Caenorhabditis elegans: one gene and its partner. The protein of the gene in region 2 interacts with the protein of the main gene of each other region in a pairwise test. Each region holds a gene or a part of one and is shown on either strand. Other genes may lie near its edges.

Region 1 (7,142 bases), on a different chromosome or scaffold from region 2:
CTATAATGTACATTTTCTCAATTCCCATGGCTTTTCGCCAGTCTTCCATCACTTCAACCATTTCCAACTCGGCGATGGCATTGTCGTCACTGAACCTCGATCGCGATGATCTTCCGAAACCTAGTGGATCAAATGAATGCACAGCATGATTTTTGGCGCAGCTGTTGAAATTTGCCGTGAACATTGCAACACCAGCGCCCAATCCAGGAATGAAAACTATTGCTTCGCCGTTTAGGTTTTCAGCTTCTCTGGGCCTCACTGTCACCGTGTACACTTCGCCTCTTTTGAATCTGACCTGAAAAAGACACTCCAGACCAGAGAAACAAATATTTCTCACTCACCGGGACATATTTGGCTTCGTATGATACTTCGCAAGACTGAAACAGACGTCCCTCGACAATTTTTAGTTGTTCCTTCGAGTCATCCGTGAATGTCATCCAATTCATTCTGAAAACCGTAGTTTTATTTGAACAGCAAGCATCAAATATTAATAAATACTTACATTGTTGTTAATGCAGTTTTTGTCGTTGCAATTGCCATCTGAAAACAAAAAAATGTTGGCTAGAGTGTGGCTAAATAGGGGGCAAAGTGCAATAACAAGAAGAAATCACAGGAAAAAAATTTTGTCCTCGTGTACGACACGGCCGTGGCCTAGAATTCTCGGAGCTTCAAATGGAATTTATTAATTTTTTGGCTCGATATTTTCAACAAAATCTCTTGATATGTGATGATTAGTCACGTTTTTTCTATTTTAATGAAATTTGTTTGTGTAAATAACCTCGCGAAACCTGTTTTCGCATCAGCTGTCGTCGCTTTTGAACAAGACGCTCGTATTCTTTTCATTAGAGCGCCGTTGCCTTTCTTCATTTTGCCAATTTAACAGTACGATTTCTTATATTCTATTTCAATATTATACTTAAAGTTTATTTTATCAAACTCTCATTTTTAGATGCCATCGGTTCCACGTGTTGATCGCCTCAAACCCATTTACACAGCCGCAAAAGCTCTGAACTTTGGATGGCGATTTTCTGATTTTCTGAAAATTCCGGCTTATAATGGAATCTCGCGTTACACCAACCAACTTCATCGCATCACTGTCAGGTTTTGCAAACAAAGTGAATCCAGTGTCGGAGTTCGCAATTTTATTGAGAATCAACTCGTTGAAATCGGTAAGAATTTCTGTCTACGATCAAAAAATTAATAGAGAATCTAAATTAAAAGCTTCATTTTTTTTTAAATAAAGAAGGAAATCCGTTTTTTTCAGGCCGTAAAAACCCATCAGTTGTGATCTATGCCCAGCCTGTGCGAAACTCGAACCCATCAATCCGCGCAGAATATGGAAATGGTCGGACTCTACAGATCAATGCAAAAAACATGACACAAGACGAAGTGAGCAAAGATGTGCATTTGTTATTCTCAAGAAGCGGCGAACCAGTTGTGAAGCTAGAGAGTCGTCAAAGTGCATTGGTTCCTTCTATTCAAGGTCAATGGACACCGATAACATGGCTTCCAACAGAAATGAACACGGAACAACTTCCAGCGAAACAGTTCTCAAAGCACAAGTCAACGGCAACGTCGGCGACGGAATATATTCTTCAAAATCCACCAAAATAAGCAATAATCCGTTATTTTATAGTTGTTTTCATTTATTCGTTGTTTTCTTTTGATTTTTTGACAATATTATTAGTAATAAAATTTAGTGTTCAGAATGAGTTGAATAACTCGTTGGTCCAGAAAAAAGGAAAAATACTGAACAGAAAAGTTAAGGAAATTGAAAAAAAAAGAAAACTTTTCAAGAAGTAGATAGAAATGAGAATCATTGGAATAGGCTTCAAAAAAAAATATATCAATTTCTAGAAATTATAATCACTGGTTATATCCATTCATCGGGTCCCATTGCCATTGTGCCTGTGGTGCTCCTTGAGCTTCAGGTCTCCATCCTCCACTACTCGATTGTCCGTAATCCACAGCACTTGGAGCACCGCCGAGCTCTCCAAATTCACTGGCTTGAGGTTGAGGAACAGTTGGTGCAGTGACCCAATTATTAATATCTTCTTGTGGAGCAATTTGATGTGTTGCAACCACGTATTCGAACTGTTCCGAGTATGGATTCATGAATTTGTATGCAGACACAGTACATGGAATGTAATCAGTACTGGTACGTACTCGAATATTTATTCTCATTGGTTGGTCACTGAAATGGAAATGTTTTTATTTAGTTAACATGGAATCTACTGCTATAGGTTTAAAGGAAAGTACATTTTTCGAAATGGTCCCGCCACGAATATTATTCGTGAAAAATTCGCCTGAAAATATTCCCTAGAACCGCGAAAATTACGATTAAAAAACTACGGTACCTGGTCTCGACAAGACAAATGTTTGTTTAATGAAAAAGGTTTGAGCCTTTAAAAAGTACGGTAATTTTAATGTTTCTACTCAATTCTCTTTGGTTTTTCATAGTTTTTTTGATAAAGGTATATTTATTTGTTTAAAAACTCACATAAGACAACATGTATTTTTACAAATAGTGAGAAAAACTATGAAAAATCGACGAAAATTCTACAGAGTAGAAAGTTTGAAATTGCAGTACTCTTTAAAACCGCACACACTCTTGAAAGCAGGTAATATGAAATTTGATGGACGCAAATTGTTCAAAAAGGTTTTTTTACGAAAACTTACCTTAAAAGAGCCACAAATGAGTCTTGAAGGGTCTTCTCATCTGCTGGATGTGCAAGATTCCACCAATATCTTCCGATAAGTTGATCACTGCTCAAACCAATTAAATCACTAACCCTCGCATCAATAAATGTCATTTTTCCATCTTCCGAAACACGAACCGAAAATTGATTTGTTGATGTTGGATCAGCACAGACCGGCATTGATGCTACCTTTAATTAAATCACGTTTATCTGCATCGTAAACTATTCTAACCTGTAACCTGGCAATTGCCACCAAACAAGATGAAGCTGGAGCATTAATTCCCTGTGGTGGAGCATTTTTGATATATCCTGTGCAATGCATCACAACGTAATTTTGACCAGCATGTTGGAATAAGGGACGGCGATTTCTGAGACGATGAAGTGGTTCAAGGGCTCCGACACGCATTCGACAGATGAATCCACGACGACATGACATATGAACTCGTGTTGATGCTCCTTCGCGTTTCACTGATCCTAAAATTCAATGATTTTGATAGTTAACTTGAAGTGGGTTACTGTACTTTTAAAGATACACACATTTTAAGAGCGAGCAGATACCTTTTTGACGGAAAATCACAAATTTTGGGCATGCCAAAATCTAGTGAAATTACAATAGATGCTTTTAAAACAAATACTACTTAATTCGATTGACTGAAGTAAGTGGTTATTACTGTAAACGGTTCCAAGTTATATGACTACTTTGGAAAAAATTCAAAAAATCCTTGAATCTCTCCTCTTCTCTTTTTATGATAACTCACCAGATTTCAAATCGAGAACTTTATTAACTGATACTTCACTTCCACACAATTGATCTCTAATTTTATCTTGATCATCTGGATGTATGAGTTCATTCAAATTTCTTTGAAGCCAATCTTCCTAAAAATTAATATTTATATTTCAATAATGAAAGATTCAAATCTTGCTCACCTGCTTCAAATTAAGTACGGGAGTAATTGAATCAGCAACATATAACACTTTTCCAGTCTGACAACAAACAACAAAAAGAAATCCATTCGCTGCTTCTAGAATCAAATGTTTCAATTCTTGATCCGTAAGAAATGATGGTTTATATGAAGTTTCATCTTGTGCCGTATGTCCTCGAATTCCTTTCATGTGTGATACTGCCATTCGGAGAATCGTTAGTTTATCGGGTTTACGTCCAAGTGATGCACATTGTGGAACCATTTCGGCTAATTCATTTATGTAATGAGTCATTTTGTTACGGCGACGTCGCTCAATCTAAAACGTTTTCAGTTGAATTTGAAGCAAGAAATTTTACTTTTTCCATATTGAATTTTGATTTCAGAAATTTCAACCAAAGGGTTGGTAAATTGCCAAATTTTTAAACTTTTAGTTTTTAGTTTAATACTTGCAGAAAGAAAGATTTTTCGGTCGGCTTCCGAATTCATGATATGTGAAACTCTAAAATTGTGCCTATTTGAATTTTAATTATACAGTTTGAAATAATTTTTTAAAAAGTTCTCTATGACTCGATAATTTTAGCACCATATGTAGAAATTTTTAAAAAATTTAAAATCGCTGGAAATTTAATTTTGAGTTGTGTTACGTCCCATGAAAATTGCAGTTTTACAGGTCAAACAATACCCAGAGTATCGTACTTTTTATTTGAATTAATGAAACATAGCAGTATAAATTTTCAGATATAAATGTTCAAAACCTCACCTCTGAATGATTTTCCCTTGCAAATCTTTCCTTATTCTCTCCCATTTCATCTTCCATTCGAGCATATTTTCCAGATGGCATGCCCATATCTTCATCTTCCATTGCGAAGCTGAAATTATTTAAAATTTAAAATATAAGTTTAGAAGTATCCAAAAATAACCAGCAATAAGCATATCTGAATAGTTGTATTGCATAGAAAACCAATTTTAATCAACACATTTTTTGCAATAAAAAGCCATAACTTAAGCTAATAATGTCACACTATGCCTTACCTCGTCGCCGATTGCCATGGATCCATAAATATATCCTGAGCCATTCTGAAAACTATAAAGAAAAGTTTTTTTCTGTCGAAAAGAAGAATTGAAAGACACCAAAACAAATTATAGGCAATTGAATATATTAGGTGAAGAATTTAAAAAATTGAATTTTAAAACAAGTTGTGCAATGGATCGAGAGTAAATCAATTAATTATGTAAATCGTCGCTTCCTTGCCCGATGAGAGAGAAAGTATGGAAAATCTAGAGTAAGATGCGTCAGAGAATACTCTCCATTGTAGACACAATGTCTTTAAACACGCGATACGTATGTCTGAGTCTCCATTTTTCATATACTCTCACCAATCAATATTTCTTTAGGATGATGGGGGATGGGAAAGGAATGGTGTGAGAGAGAGGGGCGTGCGCGCTTTTTCTATTTGTCCAGTACCTCGTCACCAAACACCGTTGAGGACCGTATTATTACTATGAAGAGAGAAAGAAATGAAAAGAAATTGAGAGTGACCCCCCTACATATGGTCACTGGATATTTGAGAGAAGAAGCAACAGATGGAATTAGAGGGGAGAGACTTTTTAAGGATGATGAAGGAGGAAACGGAAAAAAATTAGAAGATGATGGATGGATGATAGGGCATATAAAAATGTGATAGTGATAATGCAAGAAAATAAGTGAAATAATGCACGCATTTATAGTGTGACCAGTATTTGAAAGTTGAATGACCACAATTGATTGATCAAATTTTTTTAACTTTCACACTCTCAATTAAAATCATTTTTTATTTGAAAGAAAACCTTTTGCATAGGCCCCTATAAAACATTCTGCTACATGCCTCGCACTTTGAACTAAAAAATATCGACCTGAAAACTGTTCCTTGGATGTTTCCAACTTTCGAGTTTTGTGAAATTGTTCCAAAAGTGTAGTTTTTTATCAAGTTAAAGTTTTCTTTCTAAAAAAACACACATAATTCAAGCTTTCAGAATGTTTGTTTCAGATCGACTTTTCCACTCGGCCTTTTGTAGATTTAGAATGCACTAGAGTTTGGCATAAGTTTGATTTTATTCATGTCAAACTTTGACCCAAACCTTTCTTGTATTGTTTTAAACTGTTGAAAAAAATATTGTCGCTGCCAAATTCTGGCAAAAAGTTGGTGTACAATGCCAAGCAGTCCAAGGCGCTCTTCGCCAGAGGAGCCATAGGACGAAACTCCATATTCAAATTAGTTATGCTTCTAAAAAGACAGATATAGTGACATATATTTCAATTTGGAGACCCCATTCAGAACTGTTCATATATTACAAAATTGATAATCTAAATATCAGTGCTCTTTTCTCGAATTCAACTCGTCTGCTCAACCGATTCATTCGTCAAAGTTGTATCTCCAGATTTCACGGATTGTAAGTCGACTGCAGAAAGACACAAAATCTTCTTTTTATTGAATCTCACCGTTTTCTCGTTGAATAACTAAAATCATTATGTTAGGTGACAATCATAAGGTTCAGATAAACTTACCACATTAAAGTACGGATGAGTGAGAATCTCAATTCCAGAGAGACGCTTGTTCGGATTGTAGACAAGGATTTGAAGAAGAACTGCTACTGACTCTTTCATGTCATCTTGCTCAATTTTCTGAAAAACAACTCTCTGGAGGTTTTCTTAAAGCTTTTTGCCTGAAACCGATTTGATTCCACATGCGCCTTATCGTTTGGTGCCTACTCTGTGCCTATCTTGTACCTAGCTTGTGCCGCGCAATCAATAACAGACTAGTGGTACATCAAATCGGTTTCAAATGTTAAGATGGTTCCGAATGTAGCACTTAAAACCGGTCGCTGATGAAAATTGTCTGAATTTTCAATGAACTCGTTCTTCGTATAATAATTACCGTATTATAGACTGTAGTTCTCCGATCCTTCTGATAAATGACTGTCTGTGTGTAGAGATAAGTCAAGTCGGCAGTTGTCTTCGATTTATTATATTCATATGAATCCAAAACTTCCTGCAACTTCGTGCTGCTCACTTTCATTGATGACACATCAGAATCTGTTGGGTATCCGAGCATATCGAAAATGACCTCCGCTTGATTGTTCGATGATTTTCCAGCCAAGATGATTCCGCCTTTCAGTAGCTCTCCAAATACACATCCGCAAGACCACGTGTCTGAAAAATTATATTCTAGCAAAAAACTCCAAGACTTGCTCAAGGTAACTAATAGTAAACTTGGGCTTAGTAAGAATTCACCAACAAGCATCTAACAAAATTATCAGATAATTTGAATATTTTTTCAGAATTTTCTTACCAATTTTGCATCCATAGTACTTGGAGCCTAAAATCAATTCTGGTGGTCTGTAGTATCTCGTGACATGATAACTTTGCTGTGGTGATTTTGTAGATTGGATGGACGATGAGCCAAAATCAGATATTTTCAGCAGACCTGTTTCGGCGTTGTAGAGTAGATTTTGAGGCTTGATGTCTCTGTGACAAATGTCA
Region 2 (9,429 bases):
CTAAATTTTCTGAATTCTTGATATATGAATTGTGTATTTCTAATTCTGCATTTTTCTAACTATTAAAAAATACACATATTTAATTTTTATTCGAATTGTTGACAAATTTGTATATGAGAAAATTTGGAGAAAAATGAAAAAGTACATAGAAAATATTTTCAGATATATTTATTTTTTTTTTTAATTCTGGAAATGTGAAAACTGGAGATAAAACATCGGGGGATGGAGGTGAAAATTTGAGAGAATATGTATGGAATTTGTGTGATGGAAGAAGATTCTGTGAAATTTCAGACAAAAAAAACTGGAGAAAATAGGTTAAACAGGCCCGCAAGTCATTGAAATAATTGTACCCTGAACATATATTAGTGGAATTTGTAGGTTTTCATTGCTCAAACTGAAACATCCGAATAGCTCCGTTCAAAGTGCTGGTGGACCGGCGCCATATCGCTGTTTGACGGCTTTTTCAGCATCCTCCGCAGCCGCGAAATCTCATCGTTGGCGCGTTCCAGCTCCTCGGAGAGCACACTTTGGCTGAAAGTATTGAAATTATGAGATTCAGTGAAAAACCAGCTTTCGAAATAGTACCCACAAGCCTATGTTTTTAGGACATGATATTTTAGGCCGTTACAGGCCCTCGTAGGCCATTTCAGGCCGCGGATAGGCTTTCGATTTAAGTTTCCAAACTGTGTTAGTGTGCGGAATATTTACTCTTGCTGCAAAATAATAAATCGATTCGAAACCGTTTCAGGCTATTTTAGGCCGTTTCAGGCCGAGCGCAAGCCTGAAAATCTCAATTGTTCGAAATATAGGCTTGTGGGTACTTTTTCGAAAGCTCTCGGTCTTCCGAATTCAAATTGTTCAATTGAAACATTACTAACCGATCCTTTAACTTTTTAATATCAGTTTTGCAGCTAACATTCTGACGTAACAAGTCGTGCTTCTCATTCTGAAGTCGTGTAACATCTACACAAAGGGTCTCGAGACGCTTTGCATCTGAGGACTGATGATTTGCTGCCACGTGGAAGTCATCTACACAAAATGTGCACGATGAAGCCCGAGTTTGACCTGACATTTCTGTGGAGGACATGGATTCCTGGAAATGGAAATTTGTGCTGAAAATTCAAAAAAAAAATTGAAAATCTTACCATTCCAGTATCCGAATCATGCTCGTTATCCGGAGACTCTTGAGATGAAATTTCCCATTCTTTTCTGAAATTTGAATGTGAAAAAAAAATAATTTGGCCAGAAAAATTTTTGGGAAATTTTCTTTGAAAATTTGAATTTCCCGCCAAAACATTCTGTAAATTGTAATCTCCCGCCAACACTTTTTTTTAGAAAATTTGAATTTCCCGCCAAAAAAAAAACCCGCAAACCCCTTACCTATATGGCTTGACAACCTCCTCATCCCTAATCGGTGAGTGTGTCCGGGCACTGGTCGACGAACTCGTCGAGGATATCGATTTTTTAGGCCGTGACGTCACATTAATCGTGGCGGCGCGGTGTGGTACGTGACTAGCCTCCTGAGAAACCGACCGGCTTCTCCCGATAAACGCCTTCTTCACAGATGACAAAATCCCGCCGCCATATGAGTTGGATGACGATGACGTGGTGGCAGCACTTTCGCCACCTGATGACGTGGATTCTAGTAGTGGTGTGGCATAGAACTCGGCACGCTCGCGTAGAGTTGCGTGGAGCCCGTCGAGCAACGAGCTTCTGGTACGCTCGGCAAGTTTGGCGAACTTTGAGCTCTTGTAAGCAGCGTTCTCGGCATTGATTAGCTTGGTGAGCAGGAAATTTCTGAAATCTTGGCCTCGCTTGAAAATCGATGGGGTTGGCAGGGTTGGGCCGAAAAATGGGACGTCATCACGGGCGGCCACGGAGACTCGGTACCTGACACGGTCGGTCAGGGCGTCGATTGGTTGGACCTATAACATTGAAATTTGCGTTTGCCACGTTGAGAGCTTTTAAAAATGTACCCACAAGCCTATGTTTGAAAATAATACGTTTTCGGCCTATTTCAGGGCCTAAATTGGCTTGAAATGGCCTGAGTTGAGATGCTCTTGAATTTGAAATTGGTGAACTTGAAATCAATTTTATTTTAAAAAACAACGGTTTTCAAAAATGAGGGCGACTTGAAACGGCCTGAAACGGCCTGAAACGGCCTGAAACAGCCCAAACGGCCAAGAATAACCATTTCTCCAAAAACTAGGCTTGTAGGTACTTATTTTGAAGCTAATAAGCTGTCAATTTCGAATTTGTTACTAAAAACCTTGGAAAATCAACTTCTAGCCGAAATTTCACGTTTTTCCCCAAAATTTCATCAATCTCTGAAAACGCACCACAACATAGGCGTGCAAAAAGTTTGATGCAATCATATCAGGAGCAAATGGAGTATTAGCCTCCTGAAAGATGATTGCCACAATATCATTTCCAATATGCCGTTTTCTTTGAAGCTGCTGGGCGTCTCCAATAGTATACGGTAGCATTGTTGACACGTGGAACATGATCTCACGATTTTTGAATTCACTGAATACGGACTGATGGCCCGTTTGGTTGTGGGCCGTGTCAAGGCCTCCGCGGTATTTCTGAAATTTAGAAAAATTATAGATTTTTTCGTCATGTCCATTTTGTGGGTGGGGCCTAAGTGACAGCAAAATATGCTTTTTTTTTTGACAAAAAATTTATAAAAAATGTTCTGGAAAAAAGAGCCATTTTGTGGGCGGAGCCTTATTCGACTCCCTTTTTGTAAATTTCAAATTAAATAGTTTACTCGTTATTAGCAAAATTTTGATTAAAAAAATATGAAAAATTTTTGAAAATTTTAGCTTGAAATTATGTTTTCAAATTATTCGTAAAAAATAACAAAATCTAGGCCATTTTGTGGGCGGGGTTTATCAAACCACGCCTATTTTTGTATGGTGCTGAGCTTATAAAAAGTAATTTTCCTTCCCGTTTTCAGTCGAAAATTGAACGTTTTGCTGAAAATACAAAAAAAAAAACTTTTGTGGGCATGGTCTCCTAAGCTCCGCCCCTTTTCTTACTTTTCACGAATGGAAAAGTTAGACAACTTGATGAGAAACTGTGGTTTTGTGACCCAATTTTTTGGGATAAATAATTGTCATTGTGTGGGCGGAGTCGGTGAAGCCCCGCCCATTTGTGGGCGGAGTCTGTAACCACAAAACATATTCTTCAAAAAATTTTAATTTTGAGGAAGAATTTTTTTTCGAAACTTCTTTGTCGATTTTTTTTTTGAATTTTTGGAGTTTTAGAAACCAATGCCATTTTGTGGGCGGAGATTAAATTTCTAGAGATCAAACTTGCCGCTCAATTTGCCTACCTGAAAGCCATTCAACTGCACAGAATCGCCAATCATCGACAAAAACTCGTCAAAAGCCGGGCTCCCGTGTGGATTTCCGAAAAGTTGCTCCTCAGTCGTCTGTCCGCCTTTTTGATAGATAACTCCAAATTTATAGGTATTCGTGAGCACATGCTCATCATACTGTACAATAAGCTCAGAACCACCGGGGAATGCCACCGGAGAGAACTGCTCAGTGGTGATCTCCTCGCAGAGCAGCTTAGCCATCCGGGAAGCCGATGGGCGGTCGGCTAGTGCGGTAGCTGACACAATTTCATGGATGGTACCTTTACGGGTACGGAGAATGATACGGAAATGGTCACAGGAGGAGATGACTTCTGTGCGGACGCTAAGGACCAGTGGGCCTACGATTGGGTCGTTGGCGAAGAAGTCGTGGTGCTCCTGAAAAATTTTACGTCGAAGTTATGGCAATTTTGATTGAAAATTTGAATTTGTCGTAAAAAATGGTTTTCAACATGTACCCACAAGACTATGTTTTGAAAACTACTCATTTTAGGCATTTTTAGGCCGTTTCAGGCCGATCTAGGCTGTTACTAGGCCTGAAATTTTGTATTGTCTTTTTATATGTGATCAGATGATAGATACCAGCATATTTGATTTTTGAATCCATTTTCAACAAATCTAATTAAACAAGGCCGTTTCAGGCCGTTTTAGGTCGCTTCAGGCCTCAGTTAGACTGAAAATCTATTTCTTTAGAATATAGGCTTGTGGGTATGTTTCTGAAAGCTCTCGGTTTCAACAATGCGAATATTGACAAAAATAATACGTTACTACTAGGCCCTGTGCAAAATTGTCACAAAATTGGAAATAAAATTTGGTCGATTTTTGAAAACCTAGCACTTCTAGGCTCAAAACTCAAATGCAACAAATATAAGTCAAAAATTCAAAATTACTATGTTATAGGCTTTTATTCAAGTACCCACAAGCCTATGTTTCTAGAAATAGTTATTTCAAGCCCTTACAGGCCGATTTAAGCCGTGCACAAACCTGGAAAACGATATTGCTAAAAACAAGGCTAGTGGGCTGCTTTACTGTCGTTTTTTGTAACATTAACCGTGCGAATCAAAAAAAGGCCGATTCAGGCCGTTTCAGGCCGCCTACAAGCCAAAACTTTTTTTTTGGAATATAGGCTTGTGGGTACTTTTCTGAAAGCTCTCCATGCGTAGAATTCAAAAAACCTACTCTTCCAAAGAAATGTCGGCGATAACAATGACTAGTCTCGTCGGTTTCCAGCTTGAATCTGGCACAACTGTTCACATTCATATTATTGACTTGATCATCCATATGGTGCTGTTGATTGACTCCATCCATCCAAAATCCATTTGATGGTAGCACTATTTGTGGATATGGGCCCACTTTTGTTAGGACCTGGAAAAATGGAAGTTTTGGAAATTTTTTGAGAATTTTAGAGAATTTTTTGAATGGAATACTACAAGTTTTTGCCAATTTCTAACACAAAAAATACCAAAAAATTCCTTGAAAACTCGTTTTTTTTCTCGTTTTTTTCTCACGAAAAGCAAACATTTCCATGAGTACTACTAGGTACTATTTACTTTTTCGTAGTGTGAGAATTTGTGCAAATACTAGAGAGCAAAAGTGACCACATATGTACCTCATTCATAATATTCCTGGTCAATTGATTGTGTACGGCGGATCCGTTGGTTTTTTGATGAGTTTGCTCATTTTGGTGACCGGAAGTTGGGTTGTGAGTCTGGAAAAATGAAGGTTAAGGGGATTTTCGAGGTTTTCTAAGTGGTTTTGTGGGATTTGAAGTCATTTTTCTCAATTTTCAGTATTTTTTTCAAAATCAGTATGCTTGGTTACCCGTATTCCCAAATTTTCAGCCTTCTAGCTCAAATTTTGGCGAATTGGCTGAGTAGCGACCCAGTTAATCACGGAGTTTTGTCAGGTTTAATGGAAAATTGCTGAGAACTTTGGAGCTGCTGTAAAACTTTGCGTAGATTACAAAAATCGGTGCAAAGTATAAGAATTTTAAGTTGTAACAATATTGGATCCTGAACTTTTTGTACTATATGTATACTAGGAGCAAAAATCATTTTTTAAATTGAAATGAATTTTTTAAATAAATTTTCTGAATTCAGCACAAAAAAACTGACACCATACATGAATTTGGATTCTAGCTCAATTTTTGGAGAATTAACTGAGTAGCGGCTCAGTGTGATACGGAGTTTGCTCAATTTCAGAGTTTTCAGGCTGAAAATTTTAGGATAAGTGTGACAAAATTCGCTGATTATGGTGAGAGACAGAAAAATTTCAGTTTTTGGTGAATTGACTGAGTAGCGACTCAGTTTAGTTTTCTCAATTTCAGAGTTTTTCGGCAGAAAATTATATTGCTCAACCTATCTCTATAAAAATTGACAAAAATCAGTACAAAAATGCAGCACAAATTTAAGTCTAAGCCTAGGCCTAGGCCAAAGCCTAAGCCTAAACATAATCCTAAGCCTAAACCTAAGCCTAAGCGCATAAGCCTATGCATAAGCCTAAACCTAAGCCTAAGCCTAAGCCTAAGCAGAAGCTAAAATAGCTTAAACTTCAAATTGGCTGAATAGCGACTCAGTTTCAGCCCCCCAAAACCGATCCCTCCTTACAAATCCAGAAATCTCATGCAACGAGACCGTCGACGAAATAAGCGTGGGCGGTCCAACAACTCCCAAATTTTTGAATTTCGCGGGCCTCCCCACGGCCGCCTTCTTGGCCATCAGGCCCTGAATCAACTCCAGCGGACCCTTCGAGTGCCGTCTATTCGACTTGATAATCCCTGGCAGAGACTCCGTAGAAGTCGTCCTCCATCGTATCGCCTGTGATGACGTGGCATGCTTCATGTTCTCCATAGCCATCAGAAGCTTATCAGCAGCCATCACCTTGAACTCATCCTCCTTGTTAAGCTCAATACAAGAAGCCCGGCGGGATTTTAGGCTTGAAAAATCGGAGCATTTATCATTTTCCGACGCCGTGGAGGAGTCTGAAGAGGTGCTGCCAGTGGATCTCAGATTGTATTGTGACGTGGCATGCCGCAACGGAGCCAGCCTCCGAATCACGGGCGGTAGATGACGTGGCAACTCGTCTAGATCATCCTCGGACTCGGATGAGTCTATAAAGTGGAGCATTCGTCTAGTTGAAGCTAGACGTCTTGGGCTACAACTGATAGGAGATTGAGCTTGAAATATCGAGAAATAATCGGGAGACGGAAGCATTTTTTCCAGGGGAAAAATGGATAGAAATGGTCAAAAAATGGGGAGAATGATGGGGGAGATGGTTTTGAACAAATAATAGGAAATGGATGCGCCCTAAATGTGTATGTATGTATATGTTTGTATATATATTTGTATGTTTTGAGAGGTGTGGAAGAGTGAATGAAAAATGATGAAACGAACACATGAATGCACTTTAGGCAAAGAGAAAAAGTTCGGAGAAGTGGCGGGAATATTGGCTGAGTAGCAACTTAAGTCCAGGAGTAGGTGTTGGCTAAGGCTGAGGCGTAGGCTTAGGCCTAGGCTAAGATTCAGGCTCAAGTTTAGGTCTAGGCTTAGACATAGGCATAGGATTAGGCTTAGGTTTAGGTTTAGATTTGAGATTGGGCATAGTCGCTGAAATATTGGCTGAGTAGCGACTCAAAAAGTTTGACTCAGGCATAGGCTTTAATTTAAGCTTAAACACAGTTTAGGCTCAAGATAAGTCTTATGCTTAGGCTTATACTTAGGCTTAGGCTTAGGATGATGCTCAGGCTTCGGATTCGGCTTAGGATTAGGCTCAGGTTTGGGCTTTGCCTTAGGCTTCGGCTTAGGCGTAGGGTTGAGATTGGGCTTAGGCTTAGACTTAGGCTTGAGCTTAGGCTTAGACTTAGGCTCATGCTACGGCTTCTGCTTAGGCTTAGGCTTAAGACTTAGACTTAGGCTTGAATTTTAGCTCCATTTTTATACGGAGTTCTGCCAATTTTTATGAGGATAGGTTGAAAATTTTGTTGTAGCTTTATAAAGTGGCGAGATACTTTTTTAAAAATATTAAGATGTGATCTACAAAAAATGCGGGAATTTCCTGTGGAGGAAAATGTGACGTCAGCACGCTCTCAACCATACAAAATCTGTTGAGAAGTCTGCTCCACATTAAATTCCCGCATTTTTGGTAGATCACACCGAAATGGGACACTTTGACACCACATGTGAAAAAAAAGTTTCATGGCAATTAAGAAAACTCCGCATCACAGTGTTTATCGAGTCGCTACTCAGCGAAAGTTAGAGAAAGTTAAAGTAGAACCCCTAAAACTCATGCTGAATTTGAATTTCACATTGAAAATTGCTAAAAATTCCAGTTCATTTATACGACCGTAAACTAATTAAAAACTTGGGCGAATAGGTAAAATTTGGTTCTAAATCTGATTTTCACATTTTAAATTTAGAAAATACAGCTCCAAAAGCCCCTAAAATCAATAAAAACTCCAAACTCACAAGGGAAGTCTTTGAGGGGGTCCGTAGATTTGGGGTTCTCATGCTAAAATTCCTACAGAAGAGTGTTAGTTATGATCTCTCCAAAAAATTTAGCTGCCCCGGTCAAGTTTCAGCAAAGTTATGACGTTTTGAAATTTCAGTTAAAAACACCATTGAAATCCACTGTCTAGCCATGCAGTCCACGCAAATCTCAGCTTGCGTGACCACCGAAAATGTGACACCCACCACATTGAGTTGAAAAATGTCCTCGGTGGCCGAGTTGGGAGTGCGCGCGTCTGATAAGATTTAAGCTTTGGTTCGATTCCTTCTATTTTTGAAATATTTTTGTAAGTTGAATAAAGTTGTAAAACAACTCATTCAAACATTTTTGCGCATTTTTAAAGTGATTTTATTCTTATTCGGGAACCTAGAATCATTGTCCGCACTTTTTGGAAATTTTTATTTTTTTCATTTTTGCTCAAAATTTCTTGATCAACTCCAAGCAAAAAATTCAAAAAATTTCATTTTTCTAAACAATTATGAAATTGCTATGTTGTTGTTCAGAAATGTATGAAACGTACATTACACAAGTTTTAACTCTCTATTCGCAAGTAAACCGTCGAAATGATCTACATCTCACGAACTTTGTGCAAAATATTTAGCCAACTTTGAAGTTGCATAACTTCGTTGAGATAAATTATTTTGAAAAATGATCAACTAACAAAATGTTTGTTGAATAATAGTGAACAAAGTTTTAGTTATAAACTTTTTGATACAAAAATATTTCAAAAATAGAAGGAATCGAACCAAAGCTTAAATCTTATCAGACGCGCGCACTCCCAACTCGGCCACCGAGGACATTTTTCAACTCAATGTGGTGGGTGTCACATTTTCGGTGGTCACGCAAGCTGAGATTTGCGTGGACTGCATGGCTAGACAGTGGATTTCAATGGTGTTTTTAACTGAAATTTCAAAACGTCATAACTTTGCTGAAACTTGACCGGGGCAGCTAAATTTTTTGGAGAGATCATAACTAACACTCTTCTGTAGGAATTTTAGCATGAGAACCCCAAATCTACGGACCCCCTCAAAGACTTCCCTTGTCAGTAGGTTTGACACCAACTAATAAATCATTTTTCCGTCTCCAACCTGGGAGGACGCCGTAACGGAAGAGTAGCTAAACGTCTTGAGAAGAAAAATTTTCGTCCCTCGTTTTTAGTATGAGACGGGATAATTGGCAGAAACTGGTCAGGTGTCTCTGGGTCATTAGGACCCCACAGGCCAACCAACAAAAAAGTGAAATCTGTAATTGGTCAGAAAATAGTGGGGTAAATGGTCGAAGAACTGGGTGTTTAAAGGGGGACAATGGCAGATTTTGGTCTAGAAATTTGACCTTTTTGAGTAAAAATTAGGGTATGGTGGGGTTAAAGGTAAATTGGTGAGTTTTAAGAAAAACAAATTTTTTTTCCAAAAAAAAAAATTTCAGATTTTTTATTCTGGATTTTCTATTCAAATCTAAAACAAAAGAATCGGAAATTTGAGAACACTTGTTTCACTTTTTTTCGTGTTTTTTTCCTATTTTTCTCCTACTTTTTTGGTGGCTTCCAG

Evidence for each region.
Region 1: the proteins of F53A10.2 (region 2) and aha-1 interact in a two-hybrid assay, tested with the Caenorhabditis elegans proteins (one large-scale study listed by BioGRID).

The regions. Positions count from the first base shown.
Region 1 is NC_003279.8:10,192,293-10,199,434, forward strand, and holds aha-1 (Aryl hydrocarbon receptor nuclear translocator homolog), read right to left. Parts: upstream 4,706-7,142; 5' UTR 4,699-4,705; coding exon 4,655-4,698; intron 4,492-4,654; coding exon 4,383-4,491; intron 3,939-4,382; coding exon 3,627-3,938; intron 3,576-3,626; coding exon 3,458-3,575; intron 3,174-3,457; coding exon 2,932-3,173; intron 2,889-2,931; coding exon 2,680-2,888; intron 2,195-2,679; coding exon 1,867-2,194; 3' UTR 1,633-1,866; downstream 1-1,632. Other genes in the region: lid-1 (AB hydrolase-1 domain-containing protein), read right to left, coding at 1-295, 342-447, 503-540; mrpl-34 (Large ribosomal subunit protein mL43), read left to right, coding at 950-1,169, 1,265-1,614; C25A1.15 (Transposase), read left to right, coding at 5,029-5,304; Y106G6E.1 (Protein kinase domain-containing protein), read right to left, coding at 5,994-6,119, 6,168-6,284, 6,538-6,812, 6,952-7,142. UniProt on the Caenorhabditis elegans protein: Transcription factor. Efficient DNA binding requires dimerization with another bHLH protein, such as cky-1 or ahr-1. Regulates transcription of target genes, probably acting in complex with cky-1. Has a role in cellular differentiation.
Region 2 is NC_003280.10:1,221,426-1,230,854, reverse strand, and holds F53A10.2 (Rap-GAP domain-containing protein), read right to left. Parts: upstream 6,505-9,429; coding exon 5,986-6,504; intron 5,088-5,985; coding exon 4,989-5,087; intron 4,745-4,988; coding exon 4,559-4,744; intron 3,758-4,558; coding exon 3,338-3,757; intron 2,586-3,337; coding exon 2,340-2,585; intron 1,926-2,339; coding exon 1,381-1,925; intron 1,210-1,380; coding exon 1,146-1,209; intron 1,094-1,145; coding exon 879-1,093; intron 532-878; coding exon 390-531; downstream 1-389.